Linked DNA regions of Macaca mulatta. The protein of the gene in region 4 purifies or fractionates together with the protein of the main gene of each other region. This does not show direct contact. Links are inferred from orthologs where the notes say so. Each region holds a gene or a part of one and is shown on either strand. Other genes may lie near its edges.

Region 1 (3,500 bases), on a different chromosome or scaffold from region 4:
GTTCAATCTTTTTGCAATTAAATATTTGTATTCAGGCCGGGCGCAGTGGCTCACCCCTGTAATACCAGCACTTTGGGAGGCTGAGGTTGGCGGATCACAAGGTCAAGAGATCGAGACCATCCTGGCCAACATGGTGAAACTCTGTCTCTAATAAAAATACAAAAATTAGCTGGGCATGGTGGCGTGCACCTGTAGTCCCAGCTACTAGGGAGGCTGAGGAAGGAGAATTGCTTGAATCTGGGAGGCGGAGGTTGCAGTGAGTCGAGGTCATGCCACTGCACTCCAGCCCGCCAATAGAGCAAGACTCTGTCTCAAAATAAATAAATAAATAAATAAATAAATAAATAAATAAATAAATAAATATTTGTATTCAAATAATATTCTTTTAAGAATAGATATTTTAAAGCAAAGTTTCCCGTTCTAATTTAAATATAAAAGGGGACTGAAATAGAAAAAGGTGTCAATGATTACTACAAGATTTCTAATTTGTAGAACAAGAAAAACTGAGAAAGGAAATACTGTACACTGGCCAGGCTTTTGCTTTGTCTTGGGGTAAGAAGCTCATGACCACCCCCATCTTTTAAAAAATCTATATAGAATGCTTGGAAAAGATAATTTTTGATAAGAAAGACTACTCTGAATTACAAACAGATGCTGCAAACAATTCCTAGGTAATTTTTCATCCAACTATTGTTAAAGTAGAACATGACAAATTAGCCTTTTAAATAAGGCAAGCACTAACATTTGTGTTCAGGAGTTTTTATACTCAGACCAACCAATTCTCTTGTCGTAAGTAGTTTTTCATAGGATTTCCATATTAGCCTATGCATATCTATACAACTAGATAAATTAGGTTGAGACTAACCATAGAATAAGGGCCTGCCTAATCAAACATGACTACATGAAAAATAATCAGGGGAATAAGAACTTCAAACTTCCAAACCATTCCCATTAAGCTTCATTTTAATGAGAATTTAAACTGTGGCTAGGTTTTAGGGTATTTTCTTACCTGTACTTCATTCCAAATGTTTCCATAATGTACGCAATAACAAAGGCTGCACTGAAGAGGGGGAAACAATTTTAGAAAACAACCAGAAAATACAACTCATTAATTAAATGTTACAGAAAGAAAGATTATTTCTAACTTCATACCTTCTGGAGATCCCTGCATTTCCATGCACAAGAACTTTTCCTGAAAAACATGAATTCGTTATTCTAATAGAAAAACACCTGAGTCAGCAGCTGAAATATATTGAAACCAAAGTAACTCCTTCCTTATATACTATAATCGCTTGGATGTTTATTTTCAAATCTTTACAATTTGTTATTATTAGCTGTGTAGAGAATATACCAGACTCTTATTAAAGAAATTGAAAGCTCACAGAGAATTTGAAAACAGTCTACAGGGATACTCCAGAAAGCCTATCGAAATGAAACAAGTAATTGGGAAAATAAAAATTTGGGAGTAAGCTACTACATGTAATTGTAACTTCCATATCCTGCATTTAAGACAAATACCAACTAAAAAATTAACAAATAATCAAAATATAAACATTAGTTAAGGAAAAGAAATATTATTTACCTCCTGTTTGTAAGCTCCCATCAATAAATTCCTTAGTCTGGAGGCAAAAGACATGTGGATTAATGTAAGCATAAAATAAATGCATATAATGAAATAAAATGAAACCTATTGAAAACAATTTCCTAATTTATAGGTATAAAAATTATCTTAATTCACAAATTTCCAAAATGCTACAAATAATTGTCTTGTAGTAGACAAGTCCAAAAAAAAAAAAAAAAGAAGCCAAAATTTAATTTGAATCTAATATATTCACAATATGATTCCTCAAATTTCTGGAGATCATAAAAAATTTTTCTACAAATAATTCATTTTTTTAAAAAACACAATCACATAATTTTCAGTCACAGCAAAGTAAAAGTAGTAAGCTTTACAAGCACAATTAAAGGGGCTGGGTGTGATGGCTCACACCTGAAATCCCAGTACTTTGGGAGGCTGGGGCGGGCGGATCACCTGAGGTCAGGAATTCGAGACCAGCCTGATCAACACAGAGAAACCCCGTCTCTACCAAAAATACAAAATTAGTAGGGCATGGTGGCTCATGCCTGTAATCCCAGCCACTTGGGAGGCTGAGGCAGAAAAATCACTTGAACCCAGGAGGCGGAGGTTGTGATGAGCCAAGATTGTGCCATTGCACTCCAGCCTGGGCAACAAGAGTGAAACTCTGTCTCAAAAAAAACAAGAAAAGAAAAGAAAAGAAAAAAGAAGCAGCACAACTAAGAAGTCAAATCATAAATAAATTTAAATGTTATTTTTTAAAATACTGGTACCTACCATAGGGAAAAAACGTATTATATTTTCAACTGGATTATCTGCGATATCCAGGACTAAATATCTGAAAATAGAGTATTTTGTGATAAGCACACTTTAAGTAAAACGCTTAATGTATTTTAAAAAAATAACTCATTATTTCTTGGTAACCATGACAAGAATGCAAAACAACTTTCAAAGTATCATATTCCCAAGAACTGTGTGGTAGATTTTACATTGCTTGAAGGCATTAAAACTTGAAACACCATGTTAACATCTCTGATATTTTAGTATTTAAAAAAATCCATCAGCCTGGGCACAATGGCTCATGCCTGTAATCCCAGCATTTTGGGAGGCCAAGATGGGAGGATCACTTGAGCCTAGCCTGAGCAACAGAGGGAGACTCCATCTCTAAAAAATATTAAAAAATCGGCTGGGTGTGGTGGTGTGCACCTATAGTCCCAGCTACTCAGGGGGCTGAGGTAGAATTGTGTGAGCCTGGAAGTCAAGGATATAGTAAGCTATGATTGGGCCACTGCACTCCAGCCTGGGCAACAAAGCAAGATTCTTATCTCAAAAATAAATACATATTTTATTGGCATATAATGAACCATCTGGCTAAAACAGAAAAATCACAAGCAGGAAGATACATTCCTCTAGATCAGAGTGGACCTAGAAATAAAGACAAAGGTACCTGTAATCGTTATGTTATTCTTTTATTTCTATCAATTTCTCTAAGACCAGAAGATTGTTCTCTAAGTGGTCCTGTGACCCCTGCTCATAAAACTACAGAGGACATTTCAGAGGAAGTCCAAAGTCTAAAAGAGAAGGAACAAATAAAAACAGAAGGCATGGTCTATGGAACCATGACTCAAACATCCACCGTTTGAACTAATTTTTAGTAAAGCAAAACCAAAAAACAAAACAAAAAAAAAACCAAAAAACCAGCTGAGAGAGCACCTGTCTTGAATTACACTTTACAAAATACTTAAAAATAAGGCATTTTTAATATGTTAGCTTGTTTTATTTTGTAAAAAACTTCCATTTCTAAGCATTCCTAAGATTACCACTGTTTATTAACACAACTATAGGCAATTAGCTAAGTTATTAAACTAGTTTTAAGGACAATTTTGCATTAAAAATTACAGTTCTTCAATGATCAGTTACCCGG
Region 2 (3,500 bases), on a different chromosome or scaffold from region 4:
GATCAGAAGCAGGGCCGCCTGCGAGACCCAGCACCCTGGCTGGCTTGCTCATGTCCTCCTGTGTGCTCGTGGTTACAGCTGAGCTTCTGTGGAGCTAGGCTGATGCTGTTAATTTGCTTCTTGAGTCCCTGGAGTCTGTCAGTCACAGGCCCAGGGAGCCTGCGTTTCCCCCTACAAGTTTAATTAATACAGAAAGATTATTGTGAGAAATACTTGTTACACCATTATTAGGTGTGTGGGGTGCTGGGGATTGCTGCTGTCTTATAGATTCTGAGCTGCTTGTTTTCCTGGGAGCATCTGGACACATGGTTAATCTCTGGAGCGTCATCTTCCCTTGGGTCATCTGTTCCTGCTCAGCATTTTTCTGATTTCCATCCTTGCCTGCTCCTCAGCTAAGAACTTAACTTTCTTTATTTTTATTGGAAAGATCCAAGTAACATCCTGTTATGTTACAGGAAACTTTTGAAAGAGATAAACAGAATTAGAAAATTTTTAAAAGATGTGATTGATGGAGGGGTGATTTTTGCAAGTATATATCTTTAGTGAGAACACACATTCTCATTTCTTTTTGAGAGGCTTCCTGGTAAGTAGGTGTGGCAGATGTCATTGATGTCTTTCCAGTATCTCCTTGGTTTGCCAATACTTTGTGAATTAATCCCTCTGAAATCTAAACTTGCATCTGAGGACTGCAGAAGCACTTATAATACAGATCTTACCTTTGTTTAGACATGCTTCATTCTGGTTTGCATGAATGTCCAAAGCTGTATGTCCAAAGCTGCATGTCCAAAGCTGGAAAATACATCCAGTAAACACTATTAGCTGGAAGCTTATTAATCAGAATTGCATTCTAACCAGAGTTACTTTTCTTCATTTAGCTTTTAGGAAGTAAGCAAATCACAAGAAAAAAGCTGGTTTCAGGAACTTTAGTTTTAGTTTTTAAAAGCATTTCCTAATGTGGGTCCCTTTAGTTTTATAATGTCTTCTACCGTCAACATCATGGCCCTGTGTGCATGCCAGGACTGTTTGTCTGGTTCACCTTGACCCCAGATCATTGCTAGGCACATAGCAGATATACAAGAGATGTTCGGGGAATAAATGAAGGTATGGAAAAACTGAAACCTGGGTCATTGTAGAATTCTTACTCACCAAGTAAAGGTTAATTGTGATCAGTCTATTCTGCTTAGATGAGAAAACGGATACACCTGTGTTCAAGGTTTTTGGCAAGGCATACAAATGAATTTCCTGATTATTCAGAAAGTTCAGCTATTAATGGGTCACGTAGTGTCCTACTGTCACTGCAGAGTTACCGTGCCTGGAAGCAAACTCTGCCTCACACTTGCTAAACCAAGCAGTGGTACGCTATAGAGTCACTGCCGCTCAGAACCCCAGAGAGACAGTAGTATTCCTTTATCCGAATAAGCACCAAGGGTTCGTCCATCAAGCATTGAGCTCTGGTTCTCTGTCAGGCCATGGGCTAGGTGTGGAGACCAGGTAGATGGGTGAGATTCTTTCTCCATCATGCTCCTATGCTCTTCATGTCTTCCTTTGTCCACTATCTGGTGACCTGTCAAGACTTTGCTCCCCTGAAATATTGTGATGACTGCTGCTTGCCCCCACTTCTGCTTGCCGCTTCTGCTCTCCCCTAAATGTACACTTTATATCCAATGCAGCTCTGCTTTCTGGGTGAAAGTGCCAGCCCCGTGCCTGCTTTACTGGCCTCGCTCTCACTCCTCGCCTGCGTGTATCTCCTGCGCAGTCACATCCATGGGCTTATTTCCCGTGAACCAATCTGTGCATCTCTGGCCTTATCTTCCCCCTTGCCAAGTAGTCCCCACCGCTGCTCTCTTGTTTCCTTCCTTGCCCTTCTGCAGCTCTCTTCCAGACCTACCCCAAATCCCTCTTCTTGACAAAGCTTTCCAAATCCCTGTCCTTGCTACTCCCGTTGCGCCTTGCAGAGTACCTAGGTCTTCAGGTTTGTGCGTGAGCTCCCCTAGAAGGCCAGGAGATCCCTTGAGGCAAGAGCTGTCTCCTGCTCCTCTTGCTGTGCCCTTCTCGCAGTGCAGTCACAGCAGTACATTATATAGTTAGTGCTCCACAAAGTCAGTGGATCATGTTGAATTTAGTAAAACAGCCATTTCTGAGTGTCTCCTTGAAGTGTTTGCTTTATGGACACAGAGAAGAGGCAGGAGCAGCTGTTCCTCAGCATTTACCTTGCACTCCTCTGAGCCCTGCTGTTGGTCATAGCTCCAGTGTCTGTCCTTGCCTTTCTCCCCAACCAGGCCTGGCACGCGTGGGCAGTGATGAACTTCGAAGCTGTGCTACACTACAAACATCAGAACCAAGCCCGCGACGAGAAGAAGAAACTGCGTCATGCCAGCGGGGCTAATATCACCAACACCACCACTGCCGCCACCACGGCTGCTACTGCCACCACCACCGCCAGCACCGAGGGCAGCAACAGTGAGAGCGAGGCCGAGAGCACCGAGAACAGCCCCACCCCATCGCCGCTGCAGAAGAAGGTCACTGAGGTACCCTTCCCTTCTTCCTTATTACCAACCAACCAACGTGCCAGGCTCTCTGAGAAATGGAACTGTTGTTAAGCTTAAAAGGAACCTGAGGCTGTATCTGAAGTGCCAGGTGGAGCTGGAAAATACTGCCTGTCTGCCATCCAGCACTGCCTGAGACAGGGCTTTGTGTGGATATTTGTGTTTGGGGAGCTGACGCAGCCTCCACGCTGAAGAACAAGCTCCTTGTCAAGCTTCCCCGTGGATGAGCTCATTCTCTACGTGCTGCACCTGTGTGTGGGTGGCTGTACGCAGCTGCAGGTCCACTCTGAGGATGGGGCTTGGGAGATCCATCCTCTGCCTTTTTCTCTCCACTTCCACTTCTTCCCCTTCTCCTTGGACTGTCAGTTCAGAATGCACCAGGGCAGCTGGCAGGCCCAGAGATCTGAGTGTTCAGAGCCTCAGCCCCATCTCCTCCCACCATCCCGTTCAGGAAGCCACCGTCAGCCCCAGATAATAACAGTTATGATACAGTTGCCATTTATTGAGTCTTTGCTGTGTGCCAGGTAATGATTAAAGCTTTTTCATGCATTAACCAATTTAATTGTTATAACCACCCTTTGAAGTAGGTACTATTAGTATGCTGTTATGCGCATTTTACAGATGAGAAAGCTGAGGCAAGAGTGTCACTAACACGTGTGTGTTCCAACAGGATCTGTCCAAAACCCTCCTGATGTACACGGTGCCTGCCGTCCAGGGCTTCTTCCGTTCCATCTCGTTGTCACGAGGCAACAACCTCCAGGATACACTCAGGTATCAGAGAAGGGGAGGATGCAACTCTGGTAGGCCATGTTAATGGCAGGACATAGAAGTCACACGTAAAAGTCCTCTTTCCCTTCCTGACCCTGATGAGGACACCCAAGATGGGTGTATGTGCCTTTTTTCTGCACTGCAGTTTGAAGAGTAACAGCTGACTGGGCCCCACCTGTGTGGGTG
Region 3 (3,500 bases), on a different chromosome or scaffold from region 4:
GAAAAAAGCTATTACAATTGGTTAAGGATTTCCAGTAGTGAGTTAAAATCTCAGGAGAGGAATGGATAGCACTACAAATAATGTGTTCACATTCCAAGACCTTAACACTAACATCTCAAAAAGGAAGTTTTCACTACCTCTAAAAATGAATTCAATGTAATTTTATTAAGAGCAGGAAATCTAGACCTTCCTCTAATGACAATCCAATAATCCACCCTCGCTGTCATCAAAAGTTCAACCCCCAAATTAACAGTAATTAGCCTGAGGTATTATAAATGTGGCTCTACAGTCTGAAATTTAATGGCATCTTTTGTCAAAAATAGTCTTATTTCCACTTTAAGTCTCATGACAATACTATAGTGCTATCCCTGTAGTATTTACTACAATACAGTCATCAAAAATATCTGAAAAAAAATCTTGGACCTTGTGAAATAGTGCATCCATCCACTTCTATAAAAATAGGAGCCACGCAAAGATCTAAAAGAGTGCTGACTGCCCAGATCCAGAACAGAGGTACTTAACCTTTGTTTTCCAGTTTAGTTATCAAAGCGTGGTGTGAACAAAATGCTGAGTGTCACACTGGCGTTACAAATAGGCCCAAAATTTTGAGCTTTTAACAAGATTGAGAAACATTATATGAGATTTAACTCAATATGCCTTAACACATCCATGAGGTAGTTAGGTAAACAGTACTACCCATTTTAATACACAGTAAACAGAAGCATGGGTTTAAGTGACATATTCATACTTTAAGCAGTAAGAATTAGAAGAAACCACAGAAGCTTGGGGCCTTCTCTCTAGCTCTAACCCAAAGAAAATGAATTTAAAAAAAAAAAATGCATCAAATCACTTAAGATTTTCTTTTTTCTCTTTTTACACTTGCTTATTAGTATAGTATCTCATGCCAAAGCTGTTACCCTTTTCTTCAATAATGTGGTAAAAACTGAGTATAACCCTTAATTCAAGGAAGGTCTCTGCTTCTACCTGAATTGGTACAAAATTAAGACATTATCTTGTAAGAACTAAAATTGTATTTGAAATTTTTATTTTAGGCTGCAAAAACAGAAACAAGCAAACAAACAACAAATAACTTGAAAATAGGCTTGTCAAATGATGTAAATTCATCCTTTCCAGGGAAGCAGAAGGTAGACCCTACCACAAAGAAAAGATGCTTAGTTAATAGAGGTTAAATTTAAAAGTACAGGTAAATTCAGGCTAACTTCTGAAAATCCCGTTTTATTCACCTCACTGTGGTACCAGTAACTACACTGAGCCAGGTTACTTTACAGTTAACTATGTCACCTAAAACACAATAATCCACTAACAATCTAATACAGTTATTGGGTGTGGTCATACTGGAAATTCTTAACCATATCGTTGTCTTGCCAATTTTTTTTTTAACGATACATTATCTTAGTATAAGTCACTGCATTTCTGTAACAAAGTAATGAAAGGCACAGCTAATCCAAGCGGACTTAACCCTATTCAACAACCAGCTGAAAAAATACTTTGGTTCTTCAAGGAAAAAATCATGAAAAAAAAAAAAAAAAAAAAGGTATTTCCTTTAACAGTTGTTAATTTTCATAGCTGTACTCCAAGAGCTACATAAAAATATTCCAGAAGAACCAAATTATGTAGCAATGAATGAACATGCGTGACAGAATTTGTGCATTCAACATATCTGGCAGAAAAACTAGCTAAAATGCTAGGTAGAACAAATTGGTCTTTAAAATATCAGTTTCCTGTCCTTTAAAAAAAAATTACCTAGTCTACCAAGAAAATACAAAAACATAAGGCTGTAAGTAAATAAGAGTTGTGTTTAGGCTATTACAGTGCAGGTTATCCTCAAGGCCACATACATCCTGCTTCACTGCTGCTTGCACTCTGCTGGGTTTTGATCCTTCTGTTAAAGGAAAACAAGAAGTCAATCTATCTTCTTCTACCTGCTTCAGTGAATTTCTCAATAGTAATTACTGCCTTAATTATAACAGTAGCTCACTGTTGTCAAAAGAAATGGTATAGGACAATGATGGTAAATTATTTTATTAGCAAGTCACTGAAATGCTAAAATCAAGCTCAAACTTTACACTGTAGAATTAATTCCATAAAATGACACACTAAACCATAATCTTAAAAAATAAAGTTACCAAGCAATTTATGTTAGTTATATTACCAATCAGCTTTGCTTTTGCTAATCCTAATATAACAAATTTTAAGGAATAATAGACAAGGACTCTCAGTGACTGAGTAAGAGTAGTTGGAAGGATCTAACAAACTGCACTGCTCCCCAGTTCCCGAACACTCCTACCACCAGATCTTTTAAAAACCTTTGTTTATTTTCTAATGCTTAAGAACTGTTATAATTTATCCCATTAAAATAGAATCCTAGGGTGCACTGTACCTGAAACTATAAAAAGTACAAAGTCCAAACAAAAAACAACGTTTCTTAGAAAAAGGTCCACTGAAATTATGTGTACTGTTCAAAATGCCAGTGGGACTGAAAAAAGAAAGTTATCCAGTCAGTAGGCTTTACTGATTAAAGACTTTAACGGAGAGAAACTTGATATTCAGAAACACCAACTCTTACTTTAGCTGTCTTAAATTTAATAGAAAGCAGCACTAATTTTGCTCACCTTTGGGTCATAGTCTGGATCATTTTCCTCATCTCCTTCTTCTTCCCCTTCCTATATTAAAGTTCAAAATGCATCCATGAAGTATGTACATAGTAGGTAAATTGGCTCATAATGTAGGGAAAATTTAATACAAGTTACTCTATGGGTCAACAGATTTTCATGATTACAGAGTTTGACGATAATACAATTTAATCTGAAAGCTTCTAATATGAAAAATTTCCCAACACAACTTGAGACATCCAGACAGCTTTTATTGAAAATAGTTACTGCAGCCAACGTTGGAAAAGTTTACTGCAGCTTTTGACTTCTTCAAAGAGCTGATAACCCTGCAGCAGAACAAAATTATTTGAAATAAAAAAATGTTGCTGAGTTTTGCAATTTATTTATTGAAACCTTATACATACATTGTTTGGCTGTAGAATTCTAAAATCATGTTTTCCAAAATGTTTTTATCCCAAATCACAGAATGATTATAGCAAAGGAATACATAAGTCATTCAATTTGCTTCTCAATGTGTTAACCACAGAGAATTATTTGCTCATTTGGTAAACATTACCTCATCCGCTTCTTCACCTTCTTCATCATACTGAAAAGGAAAAACAGCATATGTGTTGAGTGAATGTAACACACATTTCAGAGTAGCATTAGTAACATTCATCACTGTAAAACTAGTGTCTTAAAAGAGAAAACCTACTTTCCTATCAAGAGGCTGATTATAAATTAACACATAGTGGCTGCAATAATCACTCAGCTCACTGCCAATTTATAATAAAGAACAGAGTACAATCATGTGGATAAAATGGGTGATCAGACAAGTATTACTGTAAATATTACTCACCCACACTTAAGTGTGGAATGCACTGTACG
Region 4 (4,193 bases):
TGAATATATCAAATATTTGATATATCTTGACATTTTGTATTATGGTAAGAAGAAATAAAAGACCTTCCTCAAATTTTAGGATATGGACTTCTGTTTGTTGATGTTGGTGTTTTATCATACACTGTTGTAAATCATACTAAAGGTTTTCTCTGAAAAAGACTAGAATTGACAATACTTCATTTGTTAACAGTTTCAAGTTTTAGATCACGGGTGCTTAATTTCTTGTGTGTGCACAATATGTTGGCATTATTTTATCTGACCTCAAAGATGTCCATATAGATACCAACAAAGGATAAAGTGTAAGAATAAATATCATGAAAAGATGCTGTATCAGATAAAATTCTAGAGCCAGGTTTAAAAAACATAAAGGTAAACATGCTTGATATGTAAAAATTGAGAAATATGATAAAAACAGAAATGTTTAAAGCATCTGTAATACCACTGCCTAAGATGCAGTTTATTTTGAAATGTTGTCTTCTAGTCTTCATACAGTTTAAAAATCATATTATAATCATTATTATTTCCAGTATTTTCCCCTTAGCGTAATATAATATAACATCCGTGTTTTAAAAAATGTTTTATGAACGTCATGTTTAGGGATTACACTGTATATATCCCATCTCATAGATTCCTTTATATTGAGCATTTGAATTTTTACTTTTATTTACATTTATTTTTATCTTTATATTTGCTTTTGTGGATAAACTGCAGTGAGCATCCTCTGTATAATTTTTTTTTTCTGTTTTAGGATTACTTCCTTAGGATAGATTGCCAGAAGTGGAGTTACTGGGTCAGAGGGTATGAACTTATGAACTTTTTTTTTTAAATAAATTTTTTGTTTCTGTCCAGTCATTTGTAAAAGAATTAAAATAATAATGATTATAATTGTTACCTGCTTGAAAACTGTGTCTGAAGGCAAGATTCTGTGATCAGAGAAGTTTGGGAAATACCAGGATAAAAAGCCTTTTAATCTGATTTACCTCAGCATTTCCCAAATTTAACTGAACACTGAAATTTTTTTTTGATACACTTCTTAAAATTTTGTGGAAGTTTTATATAGGATATAGTCTATGAACTACTGATGTAAAGTTGAAATTGTTTTATATGCTTATGTTTTATTGGTCAAAGGAATTAAACTATAAATCTTTATGCTAAAAATTATTAAAAGCGATTAATGTTGTTTACTATGGTTTTTGTGCATGTCTTTATAAAGTCTTATAACTTTTAAAATTGAAATGTTCTATATTGTTTACTAAAAAGCATTTTAATGCCTTGGTGGCATCAATACTTTTTTGCAATCATTAATGATATTTAGAATGTAGACATATAACATGAAAGTAGAACATAATATAGATTGTACAAATCTTGTTTTTTCCACTATTTTCCCCTGCAGAATGTGAAAACCTTTGCATCTTCTGATAGTCTAGCCAAGGTCCAAGAAGTAGCAAGCTGGCTTTTGGAAATGAATCAGGAACTGCTCTCTGTGGGCAGCAAAAGACGACGAACTGGAGGCTCTCTGAGAGGTAACCCTTCCTCAAGCCAGGTAGATGAAGAACAGATGAATCGTGTGGTAGAGGAGGAACAGCAACAGCAACTTAGACAACAAGAGGAGGAGCACACTGCAAGGAATGGTGAAGTTGTTGGAGTAGAACCTAGACCTGGAGGCCAAAATGATTCCCAGCAAGGACAATTGGAAGAAAACAATAATAGATTTATTTCAGTAGATGAGGACTCCTCAGGAAACCAAGAAGAACAAGAGGAAGATGAAGAACATGCTGGTGAACAAGATGAGGAGGATGAGGAGGAGGAGGAGATGGACCAGGAGAGTGATGATTTTGATCAGTCAGATGATAGTAGCAGAGAAGATGAACATACACATAGTAACAGTGTCACAAACTCCAGTAGTATTGTGGACCTGCCCGTTCACCAGCTCTCCTCCCCATTCTATACAAAAACCACAAAAGTGAGTATATTCATTATATTGTTAACTTGAGAAACTTTACATACCTATTTTAAGTAATGAAACTTTCCTCTCAGTCTTTGTATTACTAAAAATTAATCTTAAGATATGTAATAATAAAATGAACTAGTTTTTTGTTTTACAGAAGGTATTGGAAAGTATTAACAAGTAGAAATACTGATAATGGGACAATCTGAGTACAAATGGAGGGAAAGTAATTGAGCCTATTACTATGAAAAGTTATTAACATCAAATTTTTGTCTAAACCTTGAGTTCCGGGCAGGGATTAGTAGCTTGTGTGGGGTGTAGAGGTTTTGGGTGAAATATGATTTGTGTAAATCAAGTAATGAAGAAGCTTTTTATTTACAAAATGCAGCTGCTGGAGTGGGCTGTCTATTTACAAGTGTCACTCTAAGGCATAAATTACTCAAAAGTTGCCTCAAATTAGTTCTAGTTATTTATGATTTGAGAATTAGAAATAGTGGATATTCATGTAGAATAGACTTACAAGTTAAACTATATTTTGGAAAGGAACATTTTAACTTGAATAATAGCTTACTTGTTTTATAGACATTAAAATAATGTCTGTGGTAGTTCATCCTCTTACTCCTACTTGCTTATTTCTTACATTTTACAGTGATTTTAGGCCATAAACAATATACAAACTGATTTAACTGATTTGACATCATATCATTTAACCTAACTTGACTTGGAATGAAGTGTCTTACACACTTGGATTAATAATAGTTGAATTGCTAAATCATGTTTTACATCTGCTTGTAAAACCTTGACTTTCTAAAATGTGTTTGGCCCTAATTTACCTAGCCTGTCTGCAAGTCAGATTATATTTAGCTAGCATGATCTAAGAAGGACGTGACATCAAGTAGTGATTTTTCATCCATTGTATCATCCCTGTCTCAAGATGTTGAAGCAGTAGCTTTGGATCTCAGCCAGATGGCTCTACCGCTAACAACTATACACTGCTTTGTTAAGGCTCAGACCTTATATAGTGTCATTCCTCCCTTCTGTCCCCCCAGTCTTAATCCCCTTCTTCAAGGTTACTATATCAAAAGGGAGTTTATACAGCTCTTTTTTTCCTGAGGGTTCAGTTAGAGGAATAGGGGTTTAATACTTAAGTTCCAATTGCATTATCTTATTTCAGAAAGAGGTTCAATCAAAACTAAGCCTTGCAGAACAATGCAGAGTTATTGCTGATTTCTGCTACACTTTAAATTAAAAGCAAAAAAAGCTAGTTAGACAAAACTTTATCTTTTTCCAAAAGGAAAAGTCATCCTTATATTCTGTAGGAAACCTTCCAGTTCACAAGTTTGACAGGTACTTCATCTTTTCTTTACCTTCAAGATAAAATCATTAACAGAAATTTTATGTGTGTGATGATTACCTCTTTAAAAACGAAGTATACTGAATTTGTTAGTTTTTTTTCCTAGTGATTCTGAATCAGGAATAACAGTTATTCTTGTACATGCAAGATAACAAGAATGGACTGGGCCCTAACCATAGCAGGGATAGATGTGTGTATGCATTTGTATATATACACATGTACAATATAGATGTGTATATGCATTTATTATATAAGTGTGTATGTATACTTTTTGATATATTGTTGATCATGAGATGATTTGCCTTCATAAGTATGGCATGAAGAATACAAAGCTATTTGATTGCCAGGACAGTGATGCCCTTCTATAAGTACGATTTCAGTCTGAAATTTTTCTAAATGTTTTCCTTTTTGTCCATTCCTAAAACCCTTCTGCCAGAGTATTCCCGGAGCACTTTCAACAGCATTTAGAAAAGTCGCTTAGTACTGCTTTACCTAAAAAGAAAATGTCAATATTCTCCGTCTGTAGATGTTTTAATACAATAAATAGAAGCTCTCACTAGTTCAAGTACTTTATTTTGGAAGAGCTTTAAATTCTTGATCATTATAAAGTTAAGACACTTCTACAGACATTACCCTAGACCATAGTTTCATTCAAGTCTTAAACTTTGACTTTTGAGAGTAGAGGCATAAGAAATGAAATCCCATTTTTAAATGTTAATATAGGATTAGCTTTCTACAGATTTTACTCAGGATACCTTTCAAGTTTTATTTTTTGACGTTCTCATAAACAAACCCTGTGGACAGCTAGACTGAATTTTATCCGTCATCCCTAAATATGCTGCATAAGCAAATATGATATTAATGAGAAAAAAAGATGTTTAATTCTTCCTT

What was found. The genes of interacting proteins can lie anywhere in the genome.
Region 1: the proteins of FBXW7 (region 4) and STYX purify together in Homo sapiens (affinity purification with western blotting; 4 studies listed by BioGRID and IntAct, with this or other methods). This does not show direct contact. The link is inferred for Macaca mulatta from reciprocal best matches to the Homo sapiens genes FBXW7 and STYX.
Region 2: the proteins of FBXW7 (region 4) and MTOR purify together in Homo sapiens (affinity purification with western blotting; 9 studies listed by BioGRID and IntAct, with this or other methods). This does not show direct contact. The link is inferred for Macaca mulatta from reciprocal best matches to the Homo sapiens genes FBXW7 and MTOR.
Region 3: the proteins of FBXW7 (region 4) and NAP1L1 purify together in Homo sapiens (affinity purification with mass spectrometry, with the first as the bait; 3 studies listed by BioGRID). This does not show direct contact. The link is inferred for Macaca mulatta from reciprocal best matches to the Homo sapiens genes FBXW7 and NAP1L1.

Annotation. Positions count from the first base shown.
Region 1 is NC_133412.1:125,885,497-125,888,996, reverse strand, and holds part of STYX (serine/threonine/tyrosine-interacting protein), read right to left. Parts: intron 2,415-3,500; coding exon 2,354-2,414; intron 1,620-2,353; coding exon 1,583-1,619; intron 1,193-1,582; coding exon 1,153-1,192; intron 1,061-1,152; coding exon 1,010-1,060; intron 1-1,009. UniProt on the Homo sapiens protein: Catalytically inactive phosphatase. Acts as a nuclear anchor for MAPK1/MAPK3 (ERK1/ERK2). Modulates cell-fate decisions and cell migration by spatiotemporal regulation of MAPK1/MAPK3 (ERK1/ERK2).
Region 2 is NC_133406.1:229,593,037-229,596,536, forward strand, and holds part of MTOR (serine/threonine-protein kinase mTOR), read left to right. Parts: intron 1-2,279; coding exon 2,280-2,528; intron 2,529-3,216; coding exon 3,217-3,317; intron 3,318-3,500. UniProt on the Homo sapiens protein: Serine/threonine protein kinase which is a central regulator of cellular metabolism, growth and survival in response to hormones, growth factors, nutrients, energy and stress signals.
Region 3 is NC_133416.1:83,219,170-83,222,669, forward strand, and holds part of NAP1L1 (nucleosome assembly protein 1-like 1), read right to left. Parts: intron 3,220-3,500; coding exon 3,190-3,219; intron 2,685-3,189; coding exon 2,634-2,684; intron 1,904-2,633; coding exon 1,868-1,903; 3' UTR 1,860-1,867; exon of another isoform or gene 1,832-1,859; intron 1,153-1,831; 3' UTR 1-1,152. UniProt on the Homo sapiens protein: Histone chaperone that plays a role in the nuclear import of H2A-H2B and nucleosome assembly.
Region 4 is NC_133410.1:161,010,145-161,014,337, reverse strand, and holds the start of FBXW7 (F-box/WD repeat-containing protein 7), read left to right. Parts: upstream 1-1,393; 5' UTR 1,394-1,462; coding exon 1,463-1,963; intron 1,964-4,193. UniProt on the Homo sapiens protein: Substrate recognition component of a SCF (SKP1-CUL1-F-box protein) E3 ubiquitin-protein ligase complex which mediates the ubiquitination and subsequent proteasomal degradation of target proteins.